Linked DNA regions of Cricetulus griseus. The protein of the gene in region 3 interacts with the protein of the main gene of each other region in a biochemical or structural test. Links are inferred from orthologs where the notes say so. Each region holds a gene or a part of one and is shown on either strand. Other genes may lie near its edges.

Evidence for each region.
Region 1: the proteins of Atf3 (region 3) and transcription factor jun-D form a complex in vitro, tested with the Homo sapiens proteins (2 studies listed by BioGRID and IntAct, with this or other methods). The link is inferred for Cricetulus griseus from reciprocal best matches to the Homo sapiens genes ATF3 and JUND.
Region 2: the proteins of Atf3 (region 3) and Ddit3 form a complex in vitro, tested with the Homo sapiens proteins (2 studies listed by BioGRID and IntAct, with this or other methods). The link is inferred for Cricetulus griseus from reciprocal best matches to the Homo sapiens genes ATF3 and DDIT3.
Region 4: the proteins of Atf3 (region 3) and transcription factor AP-1 form a complex in vitro, tested with the Homo sapiens proteins (2 studies listed by BioGRID and IntAct, with this or other methods). The link is inferred for Cricetulus griseus from reciprocal best matches to the Homo sapiens genes ATF3 and JUN.

The regions. Positions count from the first base shown.
Region 1 is NW_023276806.1:248,303,754-248,310,987, forward strand, and holds transcription factor jun-D, read right to left. Parts: upstream 4,653-7,234; 5' UTR 4,322-4,652; coding exon 3,296-4,321; 3' UTR 2,746-3,295; downstream 1-2,745. UniProt on the Homo sapiens protein: Transcription factor binding AP-1 sites.
Region 2 is NW_023276806.1:130,431,995-130,439,721, reverse strand, and holds the start of Ddit3 (DNA damage-inducible transcript 3 protein), read left to right. Parts: upstream 1-2,742; 5' UTR 2,743-2,957; coding exon 2,958-2,997; intron 2,998-5,204; coding exon 5,205-5,252; intron 5,253-6,228; exon of another isoform or gene 6,229-6,339; intron 6,340-7,035; coding exon 7,036-7,193; intron 7,194-7,370; coding exon 7,371-7,727. UniProt on the Homo sapiens protein: Multifunctional transcription factor in endoplasmic reticulum (ER) stress response. Plays an essential role in the response to a wide variety of cell stresses and induces cell cycle arrest and apoptosis in response to ER stress.
Region 3 is NC_048598.1:3,858,760-3,865,701, reverse strand, and holds the end of Atf3 (cyclic AMP-dependent transcription factor ATF-3), read right to left. Parts: intron 5,602-6,942; coding exon 5,494-5,601; intron 4,244-5,493; coding exon 4,046-4,243; 3' UTR 2,818-4,045; downstream 1-2,817.
Region 4 is NC_048595.1:53,809,617-53,817,219, reverse strand, and holds transcription factor AP-1, read right to left. Parts: upstream 4,805-7,603; 5' UTR 3,936-4,804; intron 3,819-3,935; 5' UTR 3,715-3,818; coding exon 2,710-3,714; 3' UTR 1,972-2,709; downstream 1-1,971. UniProt on the Homo sapiens protein: Transcription factor that recognizes and binds to the AP-1 consensus motif 5'-TGA[GC]TCA-3'.

The DNA.
Region 1 (7,234 bases), on a different chromosome or scaffold from region 3:
CCCCACCAACCCACTCACCTGTCCCCAAAGCTGAAGCCACCAGCCCCTCTGGCCGGCATTGGGACCCTGGTACCCAAATGTCTTTATGACTCATGCCTGAGTTCCAACCAATCCCCAGCAGAGTGTGGGGAAGGTTCTAGAACATAGAAACCCCTGACAGCACGGGAGGCTCTGAGCTCTCCTGATGTCTACAACCTATGCCAAAACTTAGGGCTCAGCATAGAGGTGACCCCCAGCCTCTCTTGGAAGAGCCCCCCTCCATCTGCTGGGCCCACAAGGTATTCTAAAGACATCTCTGTGGGTGTGGGGGATAAAAAGACACATGGGAAGCAGCCACCCAGCACCCGGGAGGATGCCAGTGACTTTCAGGACAGCAGTCTACAAACATAGTTCCAGACCAGCCTTGGGCTACATAGGGAGACCCTGTGTAGAAACAAACAAACAAAAAAACAAAAACCAAACATAACCCCCCAAAAGTGGGCATGGACTGTGAGCCATGGCTCTGGGAGGGGGTAAGTGGAGTGAGGTCAAGACTCTGGGCCACCGCCCCAGTCTGGGCTAGCACCCAATGTGAGTCACAGCTGCACAGGCCAAGGCTGACACACACCTTGGCCTGTGCACAGCAGGCCTAAGCCAGAACCACTTAGCTTTGCCAAGGGGCTGTCAGAGCAAGGACTACAGAGCTGTTCAGCCTCTATGCAAGGAGCAGACCCTGTGGCTTACCCTGCCTCCCTCTGACTGTTAACTATTCTGTTCTATTGTTTCTGGTGAGCCCATTATGTCTCCTTGGAAGCCTGGGCATGACAGCCTTAGCCTGTGGGACAGATGGGGAAACTGAGGCTCAGAGAGAGCTATGTACTTGAATTGTAGAACCAGCCTCAGTGCTGGGGAACAGAACCCTGAGCCCAGGTACCCAGGCCTCAGTGTGTTGAGATAGGGCTTCCCTGTGTAGCCCTGGCTGTCCTGGGAGTCATGTTCCTCTTTAGCCTGCATCAGATTAGCTGACCAGGAAAGATACTCCCAATATCAACAAACTGCATCTGCTTCGGTGGTGGGTCACACCTTTAATCCCAGTACTCAGGAGGCAGAGGCAGGGTCATGAGTTCCAGCCCAGCCTTATCTATAGAGTGATACCTTGTCTCAAACAACAGGACAAATCTTTGTAAAGACTGAAACTCCATCCAGCACTACAAAAGCAGGGAAACAGAGCCAACTTGGGCATGATGCATGCCAGCACTCCAAAGGCCAAGGGAGAGCTCAGATTCTTACTGTGTTGTGTATGCTGTGTGTGAGATAGGGGGCACACTAATCTCGGTCAATTCTGAAAGGGATGGGGAAGGCAGAACCTAGACCAGGACACTCCCATTTCACAGCATACAAGATAGAGGTCCATAAAGCAAGAGTGTGTGACTATTACAAAGCTATGCTATGCTATGCTACCCAAGCTGGCACTCAGTGTCTGGAGCTCAGGATGGACAAAGCCCTGGGTTCCATCCCCCACTACATAAACACTCAGGAACTCTCAGATCAGGCTGCTTATCACTGGCCTTTGTTTTTCTAGACAGGGTCTCATTCTACAGCCCAAGCTATACAGGACTGAAGAGCTCCCTGCCTCATCCTGGAGAATGCTGGATGACAGGCCAGCATCACCAAGCTGGTCTTACAAAACAGTTCTGCTCAGGATTGACAGGAGGCTTGGAGCAGGGAGAAGAGCAGGAAAGCCCTTCTCTTCTGTAGCCAAGGGGGCAGGTACACAGTGGCTTGAAGAGCAGCCTTCAGACACAGACCCCCCACCCCAGATCTTACCATGTAACTTTAGCACCCATGCTGATACCGAGGGGATCAGAACCTAAGACACAGGGTCTCAACAGCCTGACAGGAAAGTGCACACCTGGGCAGTTGGAGCCCCAGGGTCAATGTCCCTGATAGGCAGTGCCCCTCTCCAAGACAGAGGCTGGGACTGAGTTGGAGAAGACAGTGCCTAATGTGCCCTAGGTCCGAGGTGCTTCATCTCCAGCTTTGCAAATAAAGATTCACAGGGAATGCTGGCATTCAGGAGGCAGAGGCAGGAGAATCTCTCGTCAGTTCCAGGCCTGTTTGGTCTATATATCAAATGCCAGGACAGCCAAGACTATATAGAATGACTGTCTCAAAAAAAAAAGGTGCCGTGTGACTCAAGCCAAGTGCTCAACATCGCTGAAGTTTCCTCAAATGGGAGAACATGCGCTGGGAGAAGGGGCGTGTCAGGAGGGGGATGTTTAAATGCACCTCCATGACTCTAGGCTGCTGGTCTTGGACCAAATGCTCTGGGCCTGAGGTACCCGTGAAACCAACAAAGACAAAAGCTCCTACTGAGGGCCGACTGCAAGCAGCAACTCTCTGTAAGGATGTCACCAGCCTCCCAGACACCCCGATGGAGGCTGAAGATCGGGAGAACCAAGACCCCAAGAAGGCATGCGCTCCTTCCTCCCTCTTTTCCATTTCTTCACCCTCTTCCCAAAAGGATGTACCAGCTAAGTTACATAGGCTAGCCCAGAAGCCCAGTCCGGGTGCCACCTGGACCAGAGCCGACAGCCTGCACCTAGGTGGCGCTCGCCGCGCAGACGTGCAGTCCCGGCCGGCGCCCACGCCTCGCCTGGGAGTGGGGGTGGGTGGAGAGGGGCTGGAGGAGGGGGGGGATGGGAGAAGGCCAGGCCCCGCCCACCACCGGCCCCGGCGGGGGAAGAAGGAGGCGGACAGCCAAGCTGGCGTAACGAAGACTTTACTGAAAACACAAAACGGGCGAACCAAGGATTACGGAACCAGGAATGTGGACTCGTAGCAAAACAAAACCAAACAAGAAGAGAGGGATAGTGTCGAGAGGGAGGGAGAGCGGAGGGGAAGGGGGAGGAGCTTTTTCTTCTTCCCGTTTCTCTAAAAAACCAACACAAGGAAACACACACGCAACACGCAACCAACGTTTGTTCCCGAGTAGAAACATAAATAGGGCGGAATCGGACACTCCCGTTCTCTCTTCCAAAAGGCAAAAAGGAAAAAGAAAAAGGCAGAGCGTGAGGCTGCGCGCCCCTAGGAGCCCCTTCTCGGCGGCACAAAGGGGCTGCCGGGCCGCGGGCTTGTGCAACACGCGCGGGGCTGGGGAAACAGAGGTGGCGCGAGGGCGGGGGCCGTGCGCTCGGGGTCCCCACCCGGAGTGAAGGGGGGGGTCCAGCTTGTCGAGTCCGGGGGCGCCGAGCCTCGGAGGAGTCCGGGGCGCCCACCACCGCAGCGAGTCCGCGCATGCGCCCCGAAGTCAGGCTCAGTACGCGGGGACCTGGTGCTGGGGCAGCAGCTGGCAGCCGCTGTTGACGTGGCTGAGGACTTTCTGTTTGAGCTGCGCCACCTGCTCGCGCAGCAGGCTGGCGGTGGATGCCAGCTCGGTGTTTTGGCTTTTGAGGGTCTTGACTTTCTCCTCCAGGCGCGAGATACGCTCCAGCTTGCGCTTGCGGCACTTGGAGGCGGCGATGCGGTTGCGCAGCCTCTTGCGCTCCGCCTTGATGCGTTCCTGCGTGTCCATGTCGATGGGCGACAGCGGAGGGCTGTCGCCGAAGCTCGGGACGTCCGGCACGGTCTGCGGCTCGTCCTTGAGCGCGGCCAGGCGCGGTGGATGCGGAGGTGGCGGCGGCCCGAGCGCGCCCGGGGGCGGCGGGAAGGGCACTGGCTCCGCGGTGAAGGCCACGGTGGCCGCGCCCCCAGGGGGCCCGGCGCCACCCGCGAAGCTGCTCAGGTTGGCGTAGACGGGGGTCTCGCTGGCTCCGGGAGTGGCTGCCAGGTCCCCGGGCGCGGGGGGCGCGGGGGCCCCAGATGTGGCCGCGGTGGCCGCGCCCAGCTGGCTCTGCTTGTGTAGGTCCTCCAGCGCCTTGACGAAGCCCTCGGCGAACTCCTGCTCCTCGCTGGCCGCCACCTTAGGGTAGAGGAACTGCGTGCTGGTCGGAGTGGTGGTTACCAGCCCGTTGGATTGGATGATCAGCCTCTCGAGCTCTGGCGACGCGAGCTTTAGCAGCCCAAGGTCCGGCGACGCCAGCAGTCCGTCGGGAGCGCCGTCGGGGCGCAGCGCGGAAGGTGCAGTGGCCGACCCGGGCTTCAATCCTGCCGCTCCCTGCTCCGCCAGGCTGAGCGTCAGCGCGTCTTTCTTCAGCATGCTGCTCGTCGGGGGCGCCCCGGGGAACGCGCGGCCCGGGGGCGCGAAGCCACCACCGCCGGGGGCCCCAGCAGTACCGGCGACGTTCGACGCACCCGCAGACAGGCCGCTCAGCGCCTCCTCGCCGTAGAAGGGCGTTTCCATCCCCGCCTCCCCCGCCGCGCTGGGCCCCGGGGCGGGGGGAGTGGCCGCGGCCTCCCCGGGGGGCCCCGTGCGCCCCCCAGTCCGCTGCCCGTGCTGCCCGGCTACGCTGCCGGCCACTCTGCCCCGCGACGCTCGCGCGCACCCTTATAGCCTCGGCCCCCACGATGAGCTCACCGCCCCCGATCGCCATTGGCCCGAGGTGACGTCGTAGATTTGCATAAAGGGGCGGGCCGGGACGCCCTCGCTCCCTGGCTGCCTCGGCCGCTGTTGCCAGGGGCGACGCTCGCTACAAGGCACAACAGCGCGCAGCATTGTGGGTTGACGTCATGGAGGTGGGGCTGAACGCGGCCTGGCCGGGTCGCCACGCCCAGCTTGGAGTGCAGCGCTCTCTCTGTCCTCCCTCCCTCCCTCCCTCCTTCCCCGTTCCGCGCGTTTCTCCTCTCTCCCTCCCTCCATCTGTCTCCCTCTTCTTCCCAGTCATGCCCTTCCTCTCTCCCCTTCTCTCTCTGCCTGTGTCTTTATAGCTCTCCTCTCAGTGTCTCTCCCCTTCTCCTGTGGCGTGATGGGCCGGGCCCCAGGAAACCACGCCCTCTGTGCAGACACGCCCACAGCACACCCCAAAGGAACCACGCCCTCATGGAGGGGGCTGGGCAGCAACCTGGGCGTCTTTTCCCGGGCTGGGGCTGGGGCTGGCAGGCGCGGGGCGGGATGGGGGAGGCAGAGGGGCTCCCTTGCAGAGTCCCCAGAAATTGCTTAAAGTGCCTTGAGTCCTGTCGGTTCACAGAGTGGGGTTCAGAGGCCTGAAACCTGACTTCCTGTCTTTCAGAGGGGAAGCTGAGGGTGGGCTATGTGGCCAGGGCTCTAGGCAGTCGCCAGGTTTTGTGGCTTTTTTTTAATCTCCGTGGGAAAAAAAAAAACCTTGTTTAAATCTTTTGAGTTGTTTTTTGTTTTTTGTTTTTTTTGAGACAGGGTTTCTCTGTGGTTTTGGAGGCTGCCCTGGCACTCGCTCTGTAGACCAGGCTGGCCTCGAACTCACAGAGACCCGCCTGCCTCTGCCTCCCGAGTGCTGGGTTTAAAGGCATGCGCCACCACCGCCCGGCTAAATCTTTATTTTGAGTTGTTTTAAGACATGGTTTCATCCTGTAACCTCAGTCTCCGTGCCTCACCTTCCCAAGTGTTTTAATAACAAGTCTGAGCCACCTTACCTCTGCCTGAAGTTTTACTCTTGTGTGTGTGTGTGTGTGTGTGTGTGTGTGTGTGTGTGTGTGTGTGTGTGTGTGCGCGCGCGCGCCTGCTCGCCCACCTGTGGAGGCCAGAGGACAGCTTGTGGGAGTAGATTCTCTTCCTCCCTGTGATTCTTGGGGTCCTGCTCAGGGTTCTGGGAAGGTTCCTTTGCCCACTGAGCCACACCCATGGCCTGTTTTGGGATGTTTTGAGACAGGATCTCACTCTGTAGGCCAGACTTATCTCCTTGAACATCCAACAATCCTACCTTAGCCTCCTGGGTCCTGGATGATGATGGGCTGTGTTTCAGATATGTGTCTTATTTTGACTGTCTGTACCTTAGCTGACCCAGAACTCAAGGCAAGCCTCTGCCTCTGCTCAGTAGCTGCTGGAATGACAGGCCCAGTCACCTCATCCCAGCATGAGTGCTTGGTCTTGAATTTGCTGTTTTGTGTTTTGAGAGATGGTCTCACTTTACAGCTCTGTCTGGCATGAAATTTACAGAGACAGGGGCCTGGCAAGGGCTGGGGTGTAACCCAGGCTGGCCTCGAACTAGTGGCCATCCCTCTTCCTCGGTTTATCAAGTACTAGAGTGACAACCCGGCCGGCCACCTTACCGTGTCATGAAAGTTTGGGGGTATTTGTGTTTTTTGAGTTTGTTTTGAGCCAGGATCTCCTGCCTCTACTCTGAGTGGGAACGGGTATGCCCCACAAAGCCTGGCTCAGCCCGAGTACTCCCGAATGGAGCCTCTGGACAGCGGTGGTGCTACACACTCTTAGCTCTGACTCTGCCAGGGCCAGGGGTGGGTCCCAAGGTGGAGCTGGAGAAACAAAAATCCAGGCTGGCAATTATCCCCCTTAATTAGTACATTATGCCCTCCAGGACTGATGGGCCGGGCTGGCTGGGAGTGGGGAGCAGACAGCAGCTCCCCTCAGCCTGCCACCCCTCACCATGACCCCCGTCTGACCTGTCACCCACTGGAAGCACCAGGTGGCAGGGCCCAGCTCCTTCGCGCCTCAGGGCCATTGCCTCCATCTGGTGCCACCCCCACGCCCTAGACTTTCACAGTTGTGGCCTCAGGGAGCCCCACACCCAGGTTTCATTCCCTTTTGGAGCTAAAGATTCATCCTGAACGAATGGTGGACTCCTCCCGGCACAGGACTCCTTTTCCTCACACGTGGGGTTTGCGCTTCGCGGGCCAGATCCCAGCCTGGGCCCCCGAGAGGGCTGAGCCAGCCAGCGCTGGCTAGCAGCCAGCGGCCCGGAGCGCCAGTCCCGCCTCTCCCCGGGGCCGGTGCGGAGCTGGGGACGGGAGGCTCCGCCCTGACCTTGGGCCTTGGCCTCGGCAGGTGGGGGATGGGCTGGCCCCTCTGGAGGCAGCGCAGGCTTGAGCTGCTTGGGGACCTTTTCTCTTTCTCCCTCTCTCTCTCCCCTCTCCCCCCCTCTCTCCTCTCTTCCTCCTCTCTCTCTCCTCTCCCTCCCTCTCTCTCGCTCTCTCTTTTGTTTTGTTTTTCCGAGACAGGGTTTCTCTGTGGCTTTGGAGCCTGTCCTGGAACTCACTCTGGAGACCAGGCTGGCCTCAAACTCACAGAGACCCGCCTGCCTCTGCCTCCTGAGTGCTGGGATTAAAGGCGAGCGCCACCACCGCCCGGCTGGTTGGGGGCCTTTCTGTGATCCTGTTTTCTTAC
Region 2 (7,727 bases), on a different chromosome or scaffold from region 3:
CTCACCATCGCTCCCATCGCACACTGACGGCTTCCAAACTTTCCCTCTCATAACAAGGCGCCCTGTCACCCAGACTGCTTCCTTCAGCTTGGGGAGGAGGGGAAGGCAGGCGCACGAAGTAGGAAGGAACTTGGGGAGAGGGCGGGTGGAGGGTGGGCGAAGCACCGGAGGGAGGGAGGTCAGGAAGGCACAAGTCAGGCACCGAGAGGGAGAAACGGCGGGGGCAGGTGAGGGTGGGGGGCCGTGGATGGGGCCGAGGGAAGGGGCCGGGAGGACGGGCGGACGCGGAGGGGGCAGAGGGTAGGGACAGAAGGGAGGAGAGAGCGGGAGGGGAGGGGGGGGCCGGGCCCCGCACTCACCGCGCCCATCGTTCGGCTGCCCCCCGCGCAGTCGCGGCCGAGGGTGAGTGGGGGGGGTGGAGGGTCGGGAGCCCCGAGCTCCGGTACGGCCCCGGCCGGTCTTAGCAGAAGCCGCGCCGCCGCCGCCGCGCGCCGCCGCCGCGGATCACCGAGCGGCCTCCCGCGCATGCGCCATAGGGCCAGGGGCAGCCCTGGGGATTCCGTTCCCCAGAAGGCACGCGCAGGCTGCTACCGCCCGCCGCCGCCGCCGCCCGTCGTCGCCGCCCCCCACCCGCCGCACCGCCGCTGCCGCCGCTGCCGGACGGGAGGGGCGGGGCCGGGCCCCCGCCCAGCGGACAGCAGCGAGCCAACAGGAGGGACGCAGTGCGCATGCGGGGAGCGCGCCTACCCCTCCCCACAACCCCCCATTAATCCCCAGAGAACAAACACCCCACGCGGCCGCCGCCCCCCCCCCGCCCTCCGCGGAAGGATCTGGGCCTCTTCCCAGGCCACTGGTGGCCAATCCCGGTCCTCCCTGGGGAGGGGCCCCTTCCGAAGCCACAATCTGTTGGGGGAGCCAGGAATGTCAGGTCCGGGAGGGGCCAACCCTAAAAGATGAAAGTCGCGACTTGCCCTGCCCCGCCCCAGAGGCTTCCCGGGTAGTGTGCCGAGACTTGACCCGCCTCTCCAGGTCAACATGTCACAACACGACCTCTGCCTGTCAAGTCACATGACCCCTGCCTGTCACTGACAACCTGGTCCGTCTCGAGGCCAGGAGAGACCATCTGGTTCAACCCACCCCCACCCCGGCCAACAGAAGGGGAGACGAGGGTCTGCAGCAAAGGAGCAGTCTGGCTGGCCAAGGACCTGTCACTGTCGCACCTTCCAATAGCAACCGGTCCTGGTGCAGTTTCTGCTCAGAGAAACTCTGGCTTGCCTCTCTTGAGTGCATGACAGACTGTGTGTGCTAGGCCACCACATGGCCTCTGTTTTCATGGCACAAAAAAATACGTTTCGCAAGGTGTTTTTTACTTTAGTTCAAGTTGCCCCCCTCACAGTGGTCTTTCCTTCCAAATCTCGTTCTTTCATTTACAAATTAAGGTAGAATCTGTGTTCCCTCCGGTAACGCAGTCCAGGGCAGGCATACGCTCAACTGCATGCACGTCCCAGTCCTTACTGTAGGTCATGACCCCAGACTCCTACAGGCCCGCTGCTCAGCAGGGAGTCACAGGACTTGCGGTCAGGGAGAAGAGAAAGGGTGGGCGCCGAGCAGGGGTGCGATAAGTAGGGGGTGGGACTCGGGTGCACGCTACAAAGAACAGGAATTCTGGCGTGCAGTGGGCGACTCAGAAACAAACGCCAAAGGTGCTCCCCCGAGACAAGCGGGTGGACTACCATGGAAATGCCAGGACCTCAGCCTCTGGGAAGCGTTAGGAGGTTAAAAGAGATGAGATCCCTTCTAAAGGGCTGGAGAAGATGTCAGTCCAGGTAGGACTAATGGAAACTTTATCGCGGTTCCAGGGCCTCGGCGCGCATGAGCTGGGAGGGGCCGGGAAGCTGGGAGTCTGGATGGAGGAGCAAGTTGGAGGTGATGGGAGGTGGGTGGGCAGAGCCGCAGCTCCTGGGCAGACAAGTTCAGGAAGGACAGCCGTTGGGGCCGTTGGATACTGGGAGCTGGCGCTCCGCCCTCTTCCCTCTCACCCCCCCACCCGCGCCTCCCACCACCGTCGGCGGCCCCTGCGCGTGCGCGCGCGCAGACACCGGTTGCCAAACATTGCATCATCCCCGCCCCCCGTCATCCCTCCCTCGCCGCACTCTCCTTCGCCCGCCCGCGCGCGCGCGCGCGCGCGCGCGTGCATGACTCACTCACCTCCTCCGCGGAGCCTCGTGACCCAAAGCCACTTCCGGGTCCGAGACAACGTAGCTCTCCAACCAGAGGGCGGGGCGGAGGCGGGGCCGAGGGGGCTCCTGAGTGGCGGATGTGAGGGGTGGGGCGGAGTCAGTGCCAGCGTGCCGCTTTCTGATTGGCAGGCTCCTGGGTCCCGCCCCCAAAAGAGGGGACGGGCCCGCATAAAATATCTTCTCTCGGCGCTGCAGAGGTCAGTAGCCTGAGTCTCACACTTCGGTCATATCATGTTGAAGATGAACGGGTGGCAGCGACAGAGCCAAAATAAAAGCCGGGACCTGAGGAGCGAGGCGAGTACCGACGCCGTCTACCCCTTCTTTCCCCATTCTCGCCAGCATGGCTAGTCCATAAAGTTGGGGGCGACTGCTCTGGAGGATGTAGCCCCACCCCTTCCAAAGTGGCCCTGTAGTCGGAGGGAGGGATGGAGGCGGGAGTCCCTGACCCTGGAGTGGCGCTCACATGACCCCTCTTCCTACGGGCGATTGCATCACCGTTCCCCTGCCTAGTTAGACTGTGCCGTTAGGCAGAGGGACTCTGGTTGTCCCCGGGAGATCCATCCTCCTCCTCTGTACGGCGAACTGCGGGCCATCCTAGGCCTGTCCGGTGAAAGGCGGGGCAGCAGGACACACCCCCATATAAAGGACTCTGGCTTTTCCCCCTCTTATCCAACAGCTTCGTTATCCCCGGCTCTCCCAAGCTCCTCGGGGGCCAGCATGGCCACCTTAGTCGCTGACCCTAAAGTTCAAGAGAATCGTAAGACTGACAGACCTTTGCTAGCGGGGTGCTGGTGGGAGGAGCACAGATGGGTTTTCCCCTTTTCCCCGGAGGCTTCTGTACAAGAGAGCAGCCTGGATCTGTAACCGTGGGACATTATTTGGGCTCTCTCCAGGGTCTTGTGCTGCTCCTAGGATTGAGTTCTGTCTCTTTCCCCAGTCCACTCCTCACTAATCTCTGTAACCATTGCGTCAGGCCGGCCCACTGTTTATCTCTGCGCCCTCTGGCCTGGGGCTCCACTGCTGATGAAAGCCAGGCCCCACACACTGGAAAACCGAGGGAGTTTCCCCCAGAGGACAGCCCTGCAGAGAAACACTCAGGGCAATATTGCATCTCCAGTCCCCAGAGATAGGCAGCACCGGCTCTGCCTCTGGGCTTAGCCCTCCATTCTCTGTAGGGGAAATTGGGGGAGTGGCTTTTTCCCTATTCATTCCTAACAAATGCTTAATAAACATCAACTATGTGCCAAGCATTTGAGAACCCAGAGTATATGAGGAGCAAAAGATAAAACTGATCTCAATTCGGCCTGGGCCTGTATTTCTGCAGAAAGCAAGAGCTGACAAATAAGAGTGCTCAGGATTGTGGGTGTTAGGAATTGCCTCACTGGGGTTTTTAGTGAAAGATCCAGAGAAGGCAAGCCTGTGAGCCATGCAGATAGAGTAAACGAGCTTTCCAGAAGGAACTGTGGGAGCAGAAGGGTTAAGATAAAGCATGTCTGGTAAAATAGGGCAGTGGCTGGATGGGAGTGAATATGAGAGAGGGTGGGGTAAACAGGAAGCCACTGGAGGGATCTGGGTAGAGGAATGAAATAAGGCCCAGTGTCATGGCATATGTATTTGATTCCAACACTCAGGCAGGGGCAGGCAAATCTCTGAGTTCAGGAGCCAGGACTACATAGTGAGACCTTGACTCAAATGAATACAAAAATAAAAGGATGGGAATGTAGCTCAATGGTAGACTGCTTGCCTAGCTTATAGAGGACCTATGGTCAACCCCCAACTATGAAACTAAACTAATAAAAGACAGGAATAGAAATGGTAGATCTTGATAGAGCATGGTGACATACACCTTAATCCCAGCACTCAGGAAGCAGAGGTAATAAAATCTGTGTGTATTTGAGGCCAATTTGGTCTACATAATGAGTTCCAGGACTGCCATGGCTACATCGTGAGACTCTGTCTAGAAAAAAAGAAATGGGAGATTTCTTGAATGAGTCTTCCACAGTAATCTTCGGGAAGTGAGGTAAATTGATTTCCATTTGGAAATAATGGGAACAGAAATACTTAGGCTTGCTGGATGGCAGTAACCCACACCTTTAATCCCAGCACTTGGAAGGCAGAGGCAGGTGGATCTCTGTGAGTTCAAGACCAGCCTGGTCTATAGAGCAAGTTCTAGGACCTTGTCTTGAAAAAAAAAGAAAGAAAATACTCAGGCTTTAGGTACTTAAAAAGAATGTATTAAAGCTGCCTGTGCTGCTTTATACTGAGTTGTGGGGATGTGAGAGGAGGAAGCAAGGATACCTTTTTTTTTTTTTTTTTTTTTTTTTTGATTTAAGCAAGTAGAGTTGCCACTTAGAATAATACAACCTAGGAAAGGAAAGGCCAGCAGGAGATTGTTGTAAATGCCTGATAGACATTCAAAAGGTGATATAGCAAGTAGACAACAGAGTTGGAGGTCCCAGGACAGGTCTAGACCAGAAGCGGCCAATATGATATTGGAGTATATGTAGCAAGTGCCACCCACATATTTTTCTCTTCCCTGTAGTGCAGCCCTCACTCTGGCAGATTTGAGGTCTATCTGGAATTTAGAGAAAGCTTAGTTGGCTAGGATGTTGCTATTATGTAATCAGGACAAATGTCAGTAACTAAAAATAAAATCAAGCTTGCCTCTGTCCTTGGAATTGGCGCACGTGTGTGTGTGTGTGTGTGTGTGTGTGTGTGTGTGTGTGTGTGTGTGTGTGTATGTGAGAGAGAGAGAGAGAGAGAGAGAGAGAGAGAGAGAGAGAGAGAGAGAGAGAGAGAATCAGCCTGGTCTACAGAACTAGTTTTAGGATAGCCAGAGTTACACAGAGAAACTCTGTGAAGGGGCGAGAGGGGAATAGAGAAGGACCAAAGGATAAAAGGCTAGAGGTAAAGACCCTGTTTCTTTCCCTTCAGACAGTAAACATGTATCTCTGTTCTCCACAGTGTTCCAGAAGGAAGAGTATCTTCATACATCACCATACCTGAAAGCAGGTAAACTTCACCAACCCCTTCTCAAAGTTAACTCCCAATGCTGCTTAGGGTCACTTTGCTGGGACAGTAGTTAGAGAGAATTTGATTTCAACAAGCTTTTGCTGTCAGACTGTGTCTTTCTCTGACACCATAACATTATTTTTAGAGCACTTCCCAAATGAAAGCTGGCTCTCACAGCCAGCCTCAACAGTGGCAATTGGCTTGTCTTTCCGATTCAGTCCACACCAAGGTTAGACAAACCCCAAGGACCTTTTGCCCAAGCTTCCCACACAAGAGAAAGGAACACAAATGGCTTGGTAATTGCTCCTGGAATTCACCAGCAGTGTTCCCAAGTGAGTTGAATACTTTTACTATAATCCCGTAAGAATATATATGCATAGCCAAGCATAATGGCTCATTCCTATAATCTAAGAACTTGAGAGGCAGAGGCAGGAGGTTCATAAAGTTGAAGGCCAGCCTGAGCTATCTATAGTAAGATCCTATCTCAATAAAATGTATGTTCTTGGAAGCTGGAGAGTTGGCTCGGTGGTTAAGAGTACTGACTACTCTTTTAGAGGACCCAGGTTCAATTCCCAGCACCCACATGGCAGCTTAAAACTATTTATGACTCTAGTTCCCAGGGAACCCATCCCCTCTTCTGGCCTCCCTGTGTACCAGGAATACACACAGCACAGACATACATGCAGGCACTCACACATACAAATACACAATAAAATAAATGCATCTTTGAAGAAAGAATGTATGTTTAGGCTGGACTAGTGGTATAGTTCAGTATTTGTGGATGAGGCAGTAGGTTTGATTGATCCCCAAGATCACACACAATGTATTTTGTGTTTTCTTCAGTTCTGGTAATGTGGTATATTAGCATATATACAAGGCTGTGGTTCAATTCCTAGCACAACAAATAATGATAAAACAAAAATGGAAGTAGAGGCTAGAGAGAAAACTCATGAGTGAAGCACACTTGCTTTTCCAGTGGACCTGAACTGGGTTTCCAGTATCCACATGAGGTGGCTCACAACTGCTGAACTCCACCCAGCTCCAGGAGACCCCGGAGTGCCTCTGGCCCCACTGACACTGCACTCATGTGAGCATATGCATATACATAAAACAGGTTTCTTGTGGAGACAAAGTTGTAGAAAGATTACTATGTAATATTTTATTTATACTTACTGATTTTAGGGGTGTTTTATTAGTTTGGTTTTCCTTTCCCTGTGTAGCCCTGGCTATACGACCTCACTATGTAGACCAGGCTGACCTCAAACTCAGCGATCCTGCTGCCTCTGCCTCCCGAGTGCTGGGATTAAACACCCCTGCCTGGCAGTTCCAGTTTTGGGGGGCGGGAGGGGGGGTTGTTGTTGTTTTTAATTACATTTGTTTTGTGCTGTGGGGTGCTAGCCATGGTGTGCATGTGAAGGTCTGGACTGTTTCTGGGAGTCAGTTCTTTTTCCTACTAGGTGACTCTGGTGGACTCAAGCCCCCATTGCTAGGCTTGGTTGGCGGCAGGCACTTGTAGTTACTCAGCTGTTTCCCATCCCTACATTCATTTACTATGCTGCCTGTGTGCAATGGTGTGTATGTGGAGGTCAGAGAACACCTTGTGGGAGTTCGTTTTCCACCCACACCCATCACCTGCCAATGTGGCTTCCAAGGATTGACAGCCCATGCCCCTACCTGACCCACAAGTCTAGTAAATTTTAAATCCAGAGTTTTAAAACAGGCATGAGATTGGTTCGCCAACCATGACGAATAGAAAACCTTTACCCTGTATGTTCTTTTCCAGAACCCAGTCCAACTACAGACATGGCAGCTGAGTCCCTGCCTTTTGCCTTGGAGACGGTGTCCAGCTGGGAGCTGGAAGCCTGGTATGAGGATCTGCAGGAGGTGCTGTCCTCAGATGAAAATGGGGGTCCCTATATCTCATCCCTTGGAAATGAAGAGGTGAGTGAGAGTGCTAGTCTTAAAATGGGCAAGGAGGCTCAGTTCACGGCCAGCCTTAGCTTATGAATTTGAGTCTAGCCTGTTTCAAGCACAAGCAAAAATAAACCCCACAAAACTGGGGAGTATGTTCACCTCTCCACAACTAATATCCATTGCCCTTTCTCCACTTCCTTAAAGGGGGAGTCAAAAACCTTCACTACCCTAGACTCCGCATCCCTAGCTTGGCTGACTGAGGAGCCAGGGCCAGCAGAGGTCACAAGCAGCTCCCAGAGCCCCCAATCTCCAGATTCCAGTCAGAGCTCTATGGCTCAGGAGGAAGAGGAAGATCAAGGAAGAACTAGGAAACGGAAACAGAGTGGTCAGTGCCCAGCCCGGGCTGGGAAGCAACGCATGAAGGAGAAAGAACAGGAGAACGAGAGGAAAGTAGCACAGCTAGCTGAAGAGAACGAACGGCTCAAGCAGGAAATCGAGCGCCTGACCAGGGAGGTAGAGGCCACTCGCCGGGCTCTGATTGACCGCATGGTAAATCTGCAA
Region 3 (6,942 bases):
TCTCTCTCTGTCTCTCTGTCTCTCTGTCTCTCTGTCTGTGTGTGTGTGTGTGTGTGTGTGTGTGTGTGTGTGTGTGTGTGTGTGTGTGCGCGCTGGAGGACCACTCTTTTAGACAGCGGGTAGGCTGAGGTAGGGGTAAATTACCCAGTGGTTTCCCCTTCCGTTTTGTTTTTGTGGGGGACCATTTAATCTCTTACGGATCCACTTCTCTACAGTATGCTCAGTGAGATGCACAGTGTAGGGGTGAAGGGTAGGAAACAGAAGTCCTTGAATTCCAAGAGAGCATCCAAGCCCCTCCCTACCCCCCCCCACACACACATTCTAACAGCCCTGCTGTTGGGGAGAGCATTGGAAATCTGTTTACATCGGTCACCATGACTCGGGCTATTGCCACACCTACCTAGCTAGCCAGACTCAGGATTTCCAAACTGTTGTCACTTGGACCCTTACTCCAGACATTCATCCCTTAAGGGCAAAGGTTATCTACCGCTCTGTGAAAGCACACACACCTGGCTATTAACTGATAAATGGATGAGCAAAATACAGATCCTCGTACAATACACTGTAACTCAGCCGTGAACAGGAATGGAATGTTGATTCGTACCTCAGCATGGGTGGACCTTGGTACTTTGCTACGTGAAAGAAGCTTGACACAAGGCCACAGGACAGGCTAGCCTGAAGAAATGAACAGTTGAGTAGTTTGCCAAGTGCTGAGGGTGGGACCTGGGGAGTGACTGCTCCATGGATGTCAGTCAGTGGTGGCTACACATGAACTCAACGCATTTGGATGCTGAATATTATGATTTGTGTTTTTCCATTTATATACATAACACATACACCCTTAGAACTCTTGCTTGAAACCTTGGTGGTTTTAGAAAGTGTAGCCTTCAGTCTTAGGTAAATTGGGGGACTTTGAGCAGTTTTGGCTTTCCCTACTTCCTCACATGTGGAGCAGAGCAGTGCTTTTGAGGACTGGGAATGTCTCCAAAGCCCCTGTGCTAAAGGCACGAGGAGTCCCTGAGCTGTCGGGGGGTGGGGCCCTATAGGAGGTCCTGTGCCATGGACGATGTGCCTTAAGGGAGATGACAGACCCTTCTGGTCATGAGGTGATTTTGGTCCACCATACACTTCCTACCTGGGTTTGCTGCATCCACACAGACCCAAGGAAAAAGATGAATCAGTCATGGACTCACACTTCTAAACCGTGGACCCAAGCACTTTTTTTCTCAGTGTTTCGTGCATGTGTGAGTGGTAAATGCACGTGTGGCAGCCCAAGGTTGGTTTTCTCAGATGCACCCAGATCTGGAGACACGGCTGCTCTGGCTAGTCTGCCTGCTCTGGGGATGGCCCGTCTCTGTCTTTTCAATGTAGAATTACCAGCAAGCCACCATGTCCACCTGGCTTTTACGTGGGTTCTGAACACAGGTCTTTACAATCGTGTGGCAAGAACTTGAACCACTAAGCTGTTTTTCTCTTTAAAAAATGCTTTATTATATTCAGTGTGTGTGTGTGTGTGTGTGTGTGTGTGTGTGTGTGTGGTGTGTGTGGTTGGGGCGGGTGGGTTGGGGGCATGTGCACACCATAGTAACATGTGGTCAGAGGATAACTTGTAGGAGTTCAGTCTCCCCATCGTGTGGGACTGGACTCAGGTCATCAGACTTGGCAGCAAGAGCCTTCACTCACTGAGCCATCTCACCAGCCCACGTTTCTCCATTTGTTTCTCCTCAGGAATTCTGTTATAGTGACAGACAGGTAGCTAACACATGGCATGATGCAGGAAACGTCTAGCCCGTTGTCCTAGTCAGTGAATACTAGCTGTGATTATCATCCATGTTCACCCATGCTTTGCAGCTCAGGGTGAATTTCTTCGAAAGTTTCGAGACAAGATCTCACCATGTAGCCCTGGCTGGCCTGGACCTCACTGTGTAGACTATGCTAGCCTTGACCAGAGACCCACCAGGCAGGTACCACCTAGCTTGACCCTAAGAGCAATGCTTTATGAGACCAGAGGCTTCTGGAGTTTAGAGTCACAACCACCCAGGAGGACAAACGAACCCTCAGTGTGGAAAGCTTGCCTCTTCACAGAATGTTTAAGGATGACTCAGGTCAGGTCCTGAGCCAGAACCTTTCAAACCTTTACTCTGAAGCAGGTGTTGGGACAGATCCCAGGACAACACAAGAGGCAGAGGAACCTGGAGAGGAAGGGAGGCTCTTCCAGGCCACATAGGGCTGCATAGTAAGTTCCAGGCTACCTTGGGCCACATAGTGAGGCTCTCAAAAAACAACAAACCATATTAGTGCCAAACAGTTGGTGTGAAGGGCACATGTAGTGTTTCAGGGTTTGTTGAGGAGAAACTGAGCATCAAGCAGCAGACTGAGGCAAGGGTCAGAAGTCACCCACCTGGGCTAGGTCTCTACAGGCAAATGCACGAATGCACACACCTCTCCCACACAGCATACATGCATACACACACTTAAAAATAAACTGAAGTGGAGAGACGGATCAGCAGTTAACAGCATTCAGTGTTCTTGGAAAGGATCTGGGTTCTATTCCCAGCACCTACATGGCGGCTCACAACCCTCTGCAACACCCTCTCCTGGCCTCCTCAGGCACTGCATGAATGTGGAGCGCAGACACACATGCAGACAAAACACCCATAGACATAAAACATACCCATACCCCAACCACCCTACCTAGTGTTCTTCCTGTGAACAAAGGAAATCTGTCCCCAAATACTCATGCTAATCACCCCATAACAGAGAGGCAGAGTCATTATTTCAACAGAAGACTTAGTAGAAACCAGCATGACACGTACGTTTACCATGTCTTATTTTGATATTTATTATGTCGACAGTCTAGGAATACTGGGATAAATAAGTAATATTTTCTCTCACAGAAAATTGTAATGATACTATTGAGTAAGATTAAACACTCTGAGGATTTCACAGAAACGTCAGAATTTTAACAGTAGCCAGAGTCCTGGTGGCCAGAGGGAGGTGCCTCCCAACTGAAAAGCTCTGGGCCATATCTCAATAACAAAAACAATGCCATTAACATCCCACAACGCAGACACCTGGCCCTGCACACGACTTCAAACACACTTCTCCACAGGCTGTGGTTTCTGGCTGTGACGAAGGGATAATGGAGTATCTCTGGCCCTTCTAGCCTAGAAATCACACCTGCTCTGTCACTGAGTGGGAAGGAGAGTCCTACCCTTTGGAAGCTGGACTTCCTTTGTGCCTTCTTTCTGTGAGATTGCAACGGTTTGCAGCCAAGGAGCTGCTGTCATGCCCAGGTTCTTCCTCAGCAGTGGGTACAGGGAAAGGAGGCGTCCTCTGACAGCACAGAGCGACACAGCTGGCCAGCAGGCCCATTTCGTTCCTGGGGGGCAGGCAAGCTCACATGTCCACCCGAATGCTTTTAAGGGATACTATCCATGATGGCAGACTCCCAAACTCTCAGAAATCAGTTCTGATGAAACTCCCAGAAAAATCATTACAGTGTCGTGCAAGACAAACATCCAAATAGCACAACACAACACCTGGTTCTGAAGTGAATGCCCTGTGCACAGCCATCTGGGATGAAACAGCTTATTTTCTAGAAGCACACCCTGGCCATTGGACAACCTCGACAACGAGTGTTCTTGCTCCGTATTCCCTAGAAGGGATGGTGTCAGCTGCAGTGGCGGCCCTGGTCCCACCCCACCTACCGAGGCGGACACTTCTGCGTGAATCCCATTAGTGGGTGTCCTGCTTTGCATGGGACCCCAGCCGGGGACCAGCTAGATCATCTGAGAATGGTCAGGATGGTAAGGCCTAAATCCTGGAGTTAGTGAGACAAGGGACGCTCTTGCCCTGCGCCACAGTTCACTCCAGGGCAGAGTGGGACAACGCAGTGGTCGCCGCAGGCCCCCCTGCCCCAACGGCTCTCGGCTGCTGAGATGCTAGAAGTGCACAGGAAGCCAGCTTTCCAACGGCTTCAGGGTTTGGGGTGGAAAAGGAGGATTCAATAAGGACTCCCCAGTTGCCCCCATGCCCCTGCCGCTTAGCTCTGCAATGTTCCTTCTTTTATTTGCTGGATAAAGAGGTTCCTCTCATCTTCCGGAGTCCGCCCATTCTGAGCCCGCACGATACACGTGGGTCGGTGCAGGTTGAGCATGTATATCAAGTGCTGTTTCTCATTCTTCAACTCCTCTATTTGGGCCTTCAGCTCAGCGTTCACACTCTCTAGCTTCTCTGACTCCTGAGGGACAATCAAAAGATAGAGGCATTATGGGGGGAGCCAGGGTTGGGGAGGTATGCGAGACCACCTGGAAATCTTGGGGCTCATTGAGCTGGGAGAGGTGTGCTGGGGGAACCATGCACCACAAAAGATAGGAGGTCAGAACTAGGTCAGGGGTGGTGTGGACCCTGCAGAGGTCTCTGAAATTAGGGGACATGTGAGAAGTTTGGGGATACCACTGAGCCAGGCTGCCATGCTTACTGAAGCTGCTGTAGCACCAAGGGCTCAGGGAAGGCTGCTCCAGTCCACTGCCAAGGGCATCTGAGCCCCACAGGGTCTGGGGAGCTGAGGAGAATTTCAAACTGGTGGTGTAGCGTTTTCTCTGAATTTCTGATCTCACCAAGACTCTCAGGTTTTTCACTGACCCTAAAGCAACAAGCAGAGATCCCAGGACTACTGAGGCCAGCTTGTGTCTCTGCCAGAAGCTGGCCTGCACAGACTTGGGGGAGCAGACACGGCCCCTGCAAAGACTTCCAGGCTCTGTGTGTTTTGTTTTGTTTTGTTTTGTTTTTGTGGGGTGACAGCCTGATAGCGTGCTCTCAAAGTGCTGGATAGGCAGGAAGAAGAGACGCAGGGTTCAAACCCAGGCAGGAGCACAGTGTAAGTACTTCCGGGTTAACAGAGCAAGCTGGAGAGGAATAAAAGCTTTTCTTGAGAGTCAGTGGCAGTTAGCAGGGGTTTGTTGTTTTATTTGTAAAACTGGTGTGAATAAAGTCTTTTTAGCCTGAAAGCCTAGAAACTCATGGCGGTGTATGGACCAGTTTGTGCCACATCATGCATGTGGAGGTCAGAGGACAATTCTTGGAGATCCGTCCTCTCCTCCCACAGTGGGTTCTGGGCATCGAACCCAGGTTGCCAGGCTTGCACGGCAAGCTTGCTAGCCCCTGGATACATGAAGGTTTTTTTGTTTGTTTGCTGTTTTTGTTTTTTGAGACAGGGTTTCTCTGTATTGCTTTGGAGGTTGTCCTGGAACTCTGTAGACCAGGCCTGCCTCTGCCTCCCGAGTGCTGGGACTAAAGGCGTGTGCCACCAACACCTGGCAATACTGAAGTTTTTAAATCTACAAATCTTTATTCTATATATCAGAGTCCCCTCCTCCCTCTGCCTACAGCTGGCATTTCTACACCACCCACAACTCCCCTCTGCCAGTGGCACAAGGCTGATGAGGTCAGGAGTGGGCGCTGAGTAGGGGAAGCTCGGCCAGCACTCACTTTCTGTAGGCACTCCGTCTTCTCTTTCTTCTTGTTTCGACACTTCGCAGCTGCAATCTTATTTCTTTCCCGCCGTCTCCTTTTCCTTTCATCTTCCTCAGGTGCCACCTATAAAACCCAAAAGGCCACACTTAAGCCACCATGAGGCCAAAATAGCAAGGCTGTGGGTTTTTTGGTTTGGTGTTTTTTGTTTTTAGTCACTTTTATGTGTATGTTTATTTGTCTGTGTGTGGATCTAGCACATGCACTCAGAGGCCAGAAGAGAGTGTTGGATCCCTGGAGCTGGAGTTACAGGCTGCTGTGAACCAGTGTAGCTGCTAGAATGGGGTGCTGGGACCCCCAGTCTCCTGGAAGAGCAGCAAGTGCGCTTAGCCCCCGAGCCTTTTCTCCAGCATCATGGCCTAGATTTTTGTGTGAACTCCCAACACACACGTGTGTGCGCACACTCTTGAGAATAAATAACAAAATCTAAAGTCAAAATTCTATTCATCAAAATAGAATTACATTTGAAACTAGTAAATTAAAATCTAACCCACTTTAAAATGCATTTGGAGTTTGAAATAAGAATTTTAATCTTAAACTGATTCTCCAAATGGCATCTGTCAACCACTGGATCACAGCTGCAGGGACAGCAGCACTCCTAACATCTCTGTCCTTACCAGGTGCATCAAGGCACACCCTTCTGTGAAGCCTGTGAGCTCCTAGAGAAGACTCCAGACTATTACTGGCACTAAGATGGTATTAGTAAGCCCACAGCTGGATACCAGTGGGGAGTAGAGCACCAAACCACCTGTTGATTCAGCCAACAAGTCACACTGACTTCCTGTTCCTCGTTCTGAGTCAATGCTGGGGCTCTCAGAGAACAGGGCCCTGTCCAGGTCTGGGGAGTGTGGTCCTCCATGGACATCCACCCAGACCCGACTTAGTCTGTGGACCTTTGAGCAATGGCCACATGTAGCTACTCAACTCTGCTGAAGACCACAGTCCAGCATGGTGGGCTGGCCAGTGTCAGACCTCGTCAGCTTCAGGAGGCCACTCCTGACCCTTCCCTAGTCTGCTGGGTCAGAAGACACTGACTGACGGTTGAGATGGAGGTCTCCAAATCTAGAGAAGCAAAACTCACGGGAGAACACTGAGAACACTGGAGGAGGCATTCCTATCTGGCCACAGACCTAGTAAATATAAGAACCACATGCATGCAGACACACACACACACTCACATACATACATACACACATACACCCCACATACATACACACATACACACACACACACACTCACATACATACATACATACATACATACATACATACATACATACACATACCCCCACATACATACACACATACACACACACACTCACATACATACATACATACACACACATACACACCCCTCCACATGCATACATACATACACACACACATATACACACACACATACATACAC
Region 4 (7,603 bases), on a different chromosome or scaffold from region 3:
AGAAGCTTGGAAATCTAAAATGACAAGACCCAGACTCAGACAAATAAACTTCAGATGATGACCACGTGGCATCTGATTTGGGTCAGAGCTCTTAGAGGGTAAAATAAAAGATAATACTATCTCCATGTGGACATCCCTATTGCTTGAACAAACCCTCTGTCACAATAGTTAATAGTTTATCAATTAATAATACATATATACATTTATATAACTAAGAAGTGACTAATGACTTTATATGCCACTGGCTTCATCCTGAGTGCTGCCTGAAGTATAACACATTGAAAGTTCATAATAGAATTGTGTGTGCAGTAATTAGCTGATTTTCTGCTGTTTAAAGTTTACTGGATATCATTGTTGAATTTCTTCTATTGCCATTATTTTTTTTCTACCTCTTTGGGTTAGAATAGTCAGAATTTTAAGAATGTAATTCAAAATATTAGTTGAAAGGGACAAATGTGGATAACCTTGAGGACTCTTTTTTTTTTTTTTTTTTTTTTTTTTTTTCCTTTTTAGTCAGATGAGTGGCGTGGCATTTCTGCATTGTGCTGTTGTTGTCTGGGCCTAGTCTAGCACTGTAGGCTATCAGTTCCCAGCCTGTATACTTTTCTACTTTGCACTTGTTTAACTTCCAGAGCCCCACCCTGAAGTGCTTCATTGTCCCTTTGCTATTCCTAAATATGGTCAAAATCAACTCACCTTCCGGGTTGCTGACACCAGCAAATTTACTGTTTGACAAAAGTGCCTTGGCTCCCAGTAAGTCTTTGTTTAAAAAGTATGGAGCCCGTCCAAGCCCCTGCAGACCTAGATGTACTCCTGAGAAACTGTATTTGGATTTACCACCACAGGCACTCCTGAACCTGTTGAATACTGGAGCACTGCTAATGAGCAAACAGCCAGGCTTCAATTAGTGGTTGGTGAAGTGTTTCTGGGTATCAAATTGCTTTTGCTGCTTGATAATCTCAGCAGCTCACAGGAAGAAAAGGAACCAGGCAAAAACTATTCCCTTGTTAAATACAAACTTGTTGATAACCTATTGTATCTGTAGACACAACCCAAGTTTTCAGTCTCCCCAGAGCTGAGGTTTAGATTATGGATGCATTGGGCCCATTACAGATGTAATCAGTGTTGGGCCCACACTTCTCTTGTGAATTTGCCCCCATAGCATTTATTATAGCATCTTCCTAGACTGGCTCTATAATTATTTAAGCCAGACAGATTATTTTGAAACAAACTAAGAAATAAACATGGACTCACTTCATGGGTCACTTCCTTGGTACTGGGGAGAGATGAGGGGTGGGAGTGGGAGCAAAAGGGAAAAGGGAAGGAGGGAGGGTTGGAAGAAAAGATCACCCAGGCTTCAATTTAGTTTGACTCTTCCTAAAGTCTTTGCTTCTAAATTACTAAGTTTAGAATACAGTAATGTTAACCCCAGAAACTTAGAAAACCTTCAGTATATAGTTTAGGAATAAGAGTACCAAAGGGAAAGGAATTCAAGATTTTTTGAAACCATTATTTGAATATTTATTGTGACAAGAACGCTGTTATAAATATGCACAAGCAAAGGCCATCTTTCTCTAGGAATTGTCAGATTCCAAGTTGGAAGGAGACATCTTCTGTAAAAACTTGCATGGGTTTCTGCTTTGAGAAGAAGCATCTATTGCTAAATCTCTATGATTATAAACGAGCACAGCACATGCCACTTGATATAGCTCTAAACTGAAGTGCCTGCTTTCTCTCTCCCTTTGCAACATCCCTGTTTTCCAGCCTCTAGAAACACCATAGCATCTTCTGGTCAACAGTCTGGACTTGTGAGTTGCTGCGGGAGAGAGTATGACCCTATGATAGCATGCAGGGCATCTATTCCTACAATCAAACAGAGAACACAGCTTTTACTCTAGCGAATTTGACATTCAGCTGTTATTCCATCTAGCTACTATTATCTATGGATAATGCAGCAAAGAGGTTGGGGGCTACTTTTCAATAGTTTATTGTATTTTCTTAAATATCCTTTCTGGAAATTTTCAGAAACAAAACATAAAAAAATTATATACTTTATTACAAATGGTAAACTCAGAATGCTTCAAATCTCTTATTTACAAACAACACTGGGCAGGACACCCAAACAAACAAACATGGAATAACTTACAAAGGCAGGAAGCTGTTTATTGACAGTAATCAGCTTTCATCAAATTAAAAAAAATATATATGTACATACACAGTTGAGGAAGGCAGGCCAGGGGAGTTCATCTGCAGTCTAGCCTGGCACTCACGAGCCTCCCTCCCCTCCCTAGCCCTCCCTGCTTTGTGTTCTTAAGGAGCACTACAGAAGCAATCTACAGTCTCTATTGCAGTTTGTAACCCCTCCCCGCCCCCCTTTAATACTGAATGAGATCGAATGTTAGGTCCATGCAGTTCTTGGTCAATGTTAACGAAAAGTCCATCGTTCTGGTCTCGCGGGCACAGCCCGATCGCAAAGCCTAGCAGCCAACAGGCCGCCGCTCTCTGGCTCCATGCCAAGGCAAGGCGCGCCACGTCCTTCCCACTCCAGCACACTGGGGGCGCCGTCAGGACGCAACCCAGTCCATCTCGTGTACCCTTGGCTTCGGTACTCGGGCACTTTTTTTTTTCTTTCGCAACCAGTCAAGTTCTCAAGTCTGTCTTTGTTATATTTTTTTTCTTCCATTGCCCCTCAGCCCTGACACTCTGTCCTCAAAACGTTTGCAACTGCTGCGTTAGCATGAGTTGGCACCCACTGTTAACGTGGTTCATGACTTTCTGTTTAAGCTGTGCCACCTGTTCCCTGAGCATGTTGGCCGTGGACGCCAGCTCCGAGTTTTGCGCTTTCAAGGTTTTCACTTTTTCCTCTAGCCGGGCGATCCTCTCCAGCTTCCTTTTCCGGCACTTGGAGGCGGCGATGCGGTTCCTCATGCGCTTCCTCTCCGCCTTGATCCGCTCCTGAGACTCCATGTCGATGGGGGACAGGGGCGGGGTCTCTCCCGGCATCTCGGGCACGGTCTGGGGCTCTTCCTTCAGGGCCTGCAGCCGCGGGTGCTGCACCGGGATCTGTTGGGGCAAGTGGTGCGGCGGCTGAGGCGGCTGCTGCTGCTGCTGGGGCTGCGACGGAAAGGCCAGCCCGGCCGCGCCGTAGGAGGGCGCCCCGCCGCCGCTGCTCAGCGCACCCGGGTTGAAGTTGCTGAGGTTGGCGTAGACCGGAGGCTCGCTGTGTAGGCTGGCGCTGTAGCCGCCGCCGCCGCTGGCGCCGGCTACCGAAGCCACCGCGGGAGCCACCATGCCCGCACCGCTGACCGGCTGTGCCGCCGACGTGACGCTGGGCAGCGTGTTCTGGCTATGCAGTTCGGCCAGGGCGCGCACGAAGCCCTCGGCGAAACCCTCCTGCTCGTCGGTCACGTTCTTGGGGCACAAGAACTGGGTGGGGGTCGGCGTGGTGGTGATGTGCCCATTGCTGGACTGGATGATCAGGCGCTCCAGCTCGGGCGACGCCAGCTTGAGCAACCCAACGTCGGGCGACGTGAGGAGGTCCGAGTTCTTGGCGCGGAGATGCGGCTTCAGGTTGCCCACCGGGTCGGCCAGGTTCAAGGTCATGCTCTGTTTCAGGATCTTGGGGTTACTGTAGCCGTAGGCGCCGCTCTCGGACTGGAGGAACGAGGCGTTGAGGGCATCGTCGTAGAAGGTCGTTTCCATCTTTGCAGTCATAGAACGGTCGGTCAGTTCACGCGGGGTTCGTCTGGGCTGCGCGCTGAAGTTTCGGGGCCGCAACAGCGCGCTGGGAAGCGGGGGACACCCGCGCGTCCCTGCGTCTGTGACAAGTAAAGTTTGTCTAAGAGCGCGCGCTCCGGTCGGCAGTGCTCCCCCCCTGCGCCCTCCTCCCCAGCTCGCTCCAGGGAGCGCAGGGTTAAGGTACCGCCTTCACTCACGTTGGTCGGCTCCCGCGCGCTGCCGGGCTTTGAAAAGTCGCGGTCACTCGCGGAGCGCTCTCGGGTAGTAGCAGTTCCTCGGAGACCGCAGACCAGCTCCAGCGACAGCAGCTCTCCGGCGGCGCTGACCAGTCGTCACGGAACTGTCGGTGGAAGCCCGCGATCGGGCTCCGCCGCCCGGACTCCGACAACTGTCCCCTCCTCCGCTGTGAGGGGGAGGGGGACGCTCGGCGGCCGCGGCTAGCGCTCGCCCAACTTCAGCCGCCTGTGCGAGCGGGGCTGAGTGTGGGTTCTTCCTCTTCTCCCCTTTCTTTACGGTCTCGGGGGCAGCCTAAGGCGCTGAAAAGGTTTGCAAAAGTTCGCTCCGGGCCACTTGTTCCCGGTCTTCTGGGTCAGGAAAGTTGGTGGTCGGCGTAGCCGCTCGCCTATTTCCTCGCTCGGGCAGGCACCGCTCTCGATGCTGTCAGCAGCGCAGGGACTTGCGAGCTGCTTCTCCGGGGAAGGCGGGAGAAGGGACTCTCCAAGTGCTCCCCAAAACACCGGTGCTGGAGCCGCGGGCGCTGGGTCCAGGTAGTCGGTGAGAAAATGAAGACAAACAGATGAGCAGCCCGGAGTCCGCGGCCGTCCAGATTGGCCGAGAACGTCCGTCCTTCCTTCCGTCCGTCCCGCTCTCTCTCTCTGCCTCTCTGTCTGAGCGCGTTCCTGCCAGGACGTCTCTGCCACACTCAGTGCAACTCTGAGTCCTTCTTATCCAGCCTGAGCTCAACACTTATCTGCTACCAGTCAACCCCTAAAAATAGCCCATGATGTCACCCCAAGGCCTTCCCATTGGCCTGCGTCGCTCTCAGGGGGGCGGGCCCGCCTGTCGCCATGGAGACCTCACCCCAGAAGATTCTTCTCTGGGCCCGCGAAGGCTCACGGGATGAGGTAATGCTCCGCTGCGCTCCTACAGTTGGGCCCTTCTTTCTCCTCCTCCCTCCCCCTCCCGCGCGGCGCTCAGGCTTGTGTTCCCGGGTTCCCTCCCCGGCGCGTCTTTCCCGGCCCGCCCGGTGCATTGTGGGCTGACGTCTTGGTTTGGCTGTCTAGTGACGGAGGCTGCCGGGTCGGCTGGACCCTTGCGGCGTCTGTCGGAGGCGGGCTCAAGTTCAGGGTTGGGGACGGGGATCGAGACACCGGCATCCAGAAAGCTGGGGAGGCTCGCTAGTGGCCCCGGGCGGAAGGCCTGGGTGGGGAGTGGAGGTGGCGCGCGCGCACGCACGCACACACAAGCACACACACACACGCACACACACGCACACACGTGAAGGGGCTGAGCGACCTGAGCTCCAGCAGGCTCTGCACCCCCACACTTCCGGGAGGCAGCGGCGCGGGTGAAGATGGTTGTGTGCGCCCCGGGTGCGGGAGCGAGAAAGTGTGTTGAAGTTGAACGGGCTTGAGTGTCCCTCCCACGTTGAGCACGCGTGGAAGTTTATCTCTTGGTTAAGTTCCAGAGGAGGATCTGTGCCGCTGTGTGCTCTACCTGGAAGCTAGAGATTTGCGGTACTAAGAACCGACTCGTCAGGGTCCTCGGCACAACACTTCACCCTCTGGAGACATGCGGGGAGGGGCTCGCTTTGCCTCAGAGGGACGCGCTTTCTAGACGTGAAATAAAGGGGCGACCCCAGCATCCATGGGGGTCAAAATCAACATTTAAGGGTTCAAAACTCAGGAAACCCCAGCGATCGCCTTTGCCCGGGCGCGTCTCGCGCATACGCAACCCGCGCCCGCCCTACCCCCCACCCCCCAGCTCCTGATTTGCTTCTGGGAAAACAAGTCTTGAGAGCCGCCGCCGACTCGCCCGAAAGTCACGCTGCCTAAGCGGGAGTCCCTGGTAGAAGCAGGCTAAAGTCTCCCCTCCCCGCCCGCTGGTGGATTCATATCCTGTGTGGCCTCTAGGAAGCGCTAGACACATGTAAGTGGTTTTTGTCCTAGGGTTCTGCTATCCGACCTCCATTCTCCACCACTTAGGACTAAAGAGGTGGCAAGCTCGGTTCTCTCATGGCCTAACTGCAATCTCGGAACTTCTCTGAGCTTTATTGGCCTCATCTGCAAGTAGAGCGGATGAGGTCCACCGTACCGGGCTGCCAGGCGTTAGTATTACCTTCCTTGATGCCGGTACTAGAAGCTGGTCAACTCACTGTCCCCTTCCCTGCCGGCCTCGGCATTCCCCCTGGGCCTTCCCGCCGTACCAGGCTACAGGGCTGTGATTTGGCAGGAACTGGTGAGCAAGGTAGCAAAGGGCTGTTAGCCAGCTCTTCCCCAAGCCTCCTTACAGCCCAGGACTTGAGGTTTGGAGTTGGACCTTAAGTCCGGAGGTTCTAATTCGGATTTTGCTGCCTCAGAACTCAGCCCAGGGTTTGTATCCTGGAGCCCTAAGATATTTTGCCTTGAGAATTCAGAACCCAATAGCAGCTGGTATCGGTGGGAAACTGGCCAGCTCTTTTTCACTCCGTGTGCTCACTTTGCTTTCACTCAGGCTGCAGAGGGTAACTAACTGGTTGCTGCCAGCCAAGCACTGACCTTTGTGGGGGCAGGGTAGGGCAAGGTTTCTGTGAAGTCCAGATCCATTTACTTCTCCCAAAGAGAGAACGAGTTCCCCTAATCGTTTTTGTCAAGGAGCTCATATTCTCCATGATTTATGACAACAGTAATAAAAATAAGTTTTATCCATTAAACACCCACTATCTACCAGTTAGTCCAAGCAGTTTAAGTATGCTGTTTTTTCCCCACAACCATCTTGAGAGGCATACATTTTTACCTCGACTTTACACAGGAGGAAATAATTCCAGAAAGTACATGTATCTTGTTTGGGCTACACGGACGGCTGGAAAGTGACCTTAAATCTGTGTTACATTCCTTTGTATTTTCTCCACTCTGGCAAACTTTCCCTCACAGCCTTGGTTATCTGCTTGGGAAGTGGTGCTGATGCCATAGAAGTTGCTCTCTTGTTTCTGTATTTAGAAACTCCCAGGCTTAGTCTGCCTCCTGTTGCTTAGGAGGCTAATTTTCTACTTAGGTTAAGAAATAGTACATTTCATTCAAGGCGAAAAGGATGTACTCTTGTCAATGCCTCTGCTTGCCAGCCGCAGTGAACTTCCTCTTTGCCTGGGAGAAGGGGTTTTTCAGCCAATGCTCTCTAGTCTCATCTCACTGGAAGCTCAGTTGGGAAGGGCTGGGCTATGCTACCCTAAACCCATCATCCCAGAGGCTCAGTCAGTGTGTTATTGTTTCTTGCTCCCTCCCACTGCTTGCCCATTGTGACTGAGCAGGGAACTCTGTCCACTGTCCTGCTTCTCACTGGTTGTGACTGAAGTGGGAACTCAGCAAAGCTCTGACTGGCTCTCAGTGTATCCACCTGGAAGTGGCACCTTTCTTTCTCATATGCCACTGGCCAAAGTCAGTCACAGGGCCATACCTGAGACTGAGGGTCTGAAAGGGGTCCTTCCTGCCTTCTTTCCTTCTTCAAGGGAATCAACCCCAATTCCCCTTCAGTTACAGCATAAGTTCACATCCAGGCTTTGAGAGACAGTGTATAGAGAGCTAGTTACCCTGCCCCACCCCCACGCCCCACCCCTGGATCCCATTCAGCATATATGATGGGACAGAGACAGAGGCTTTGCTCCACTTGG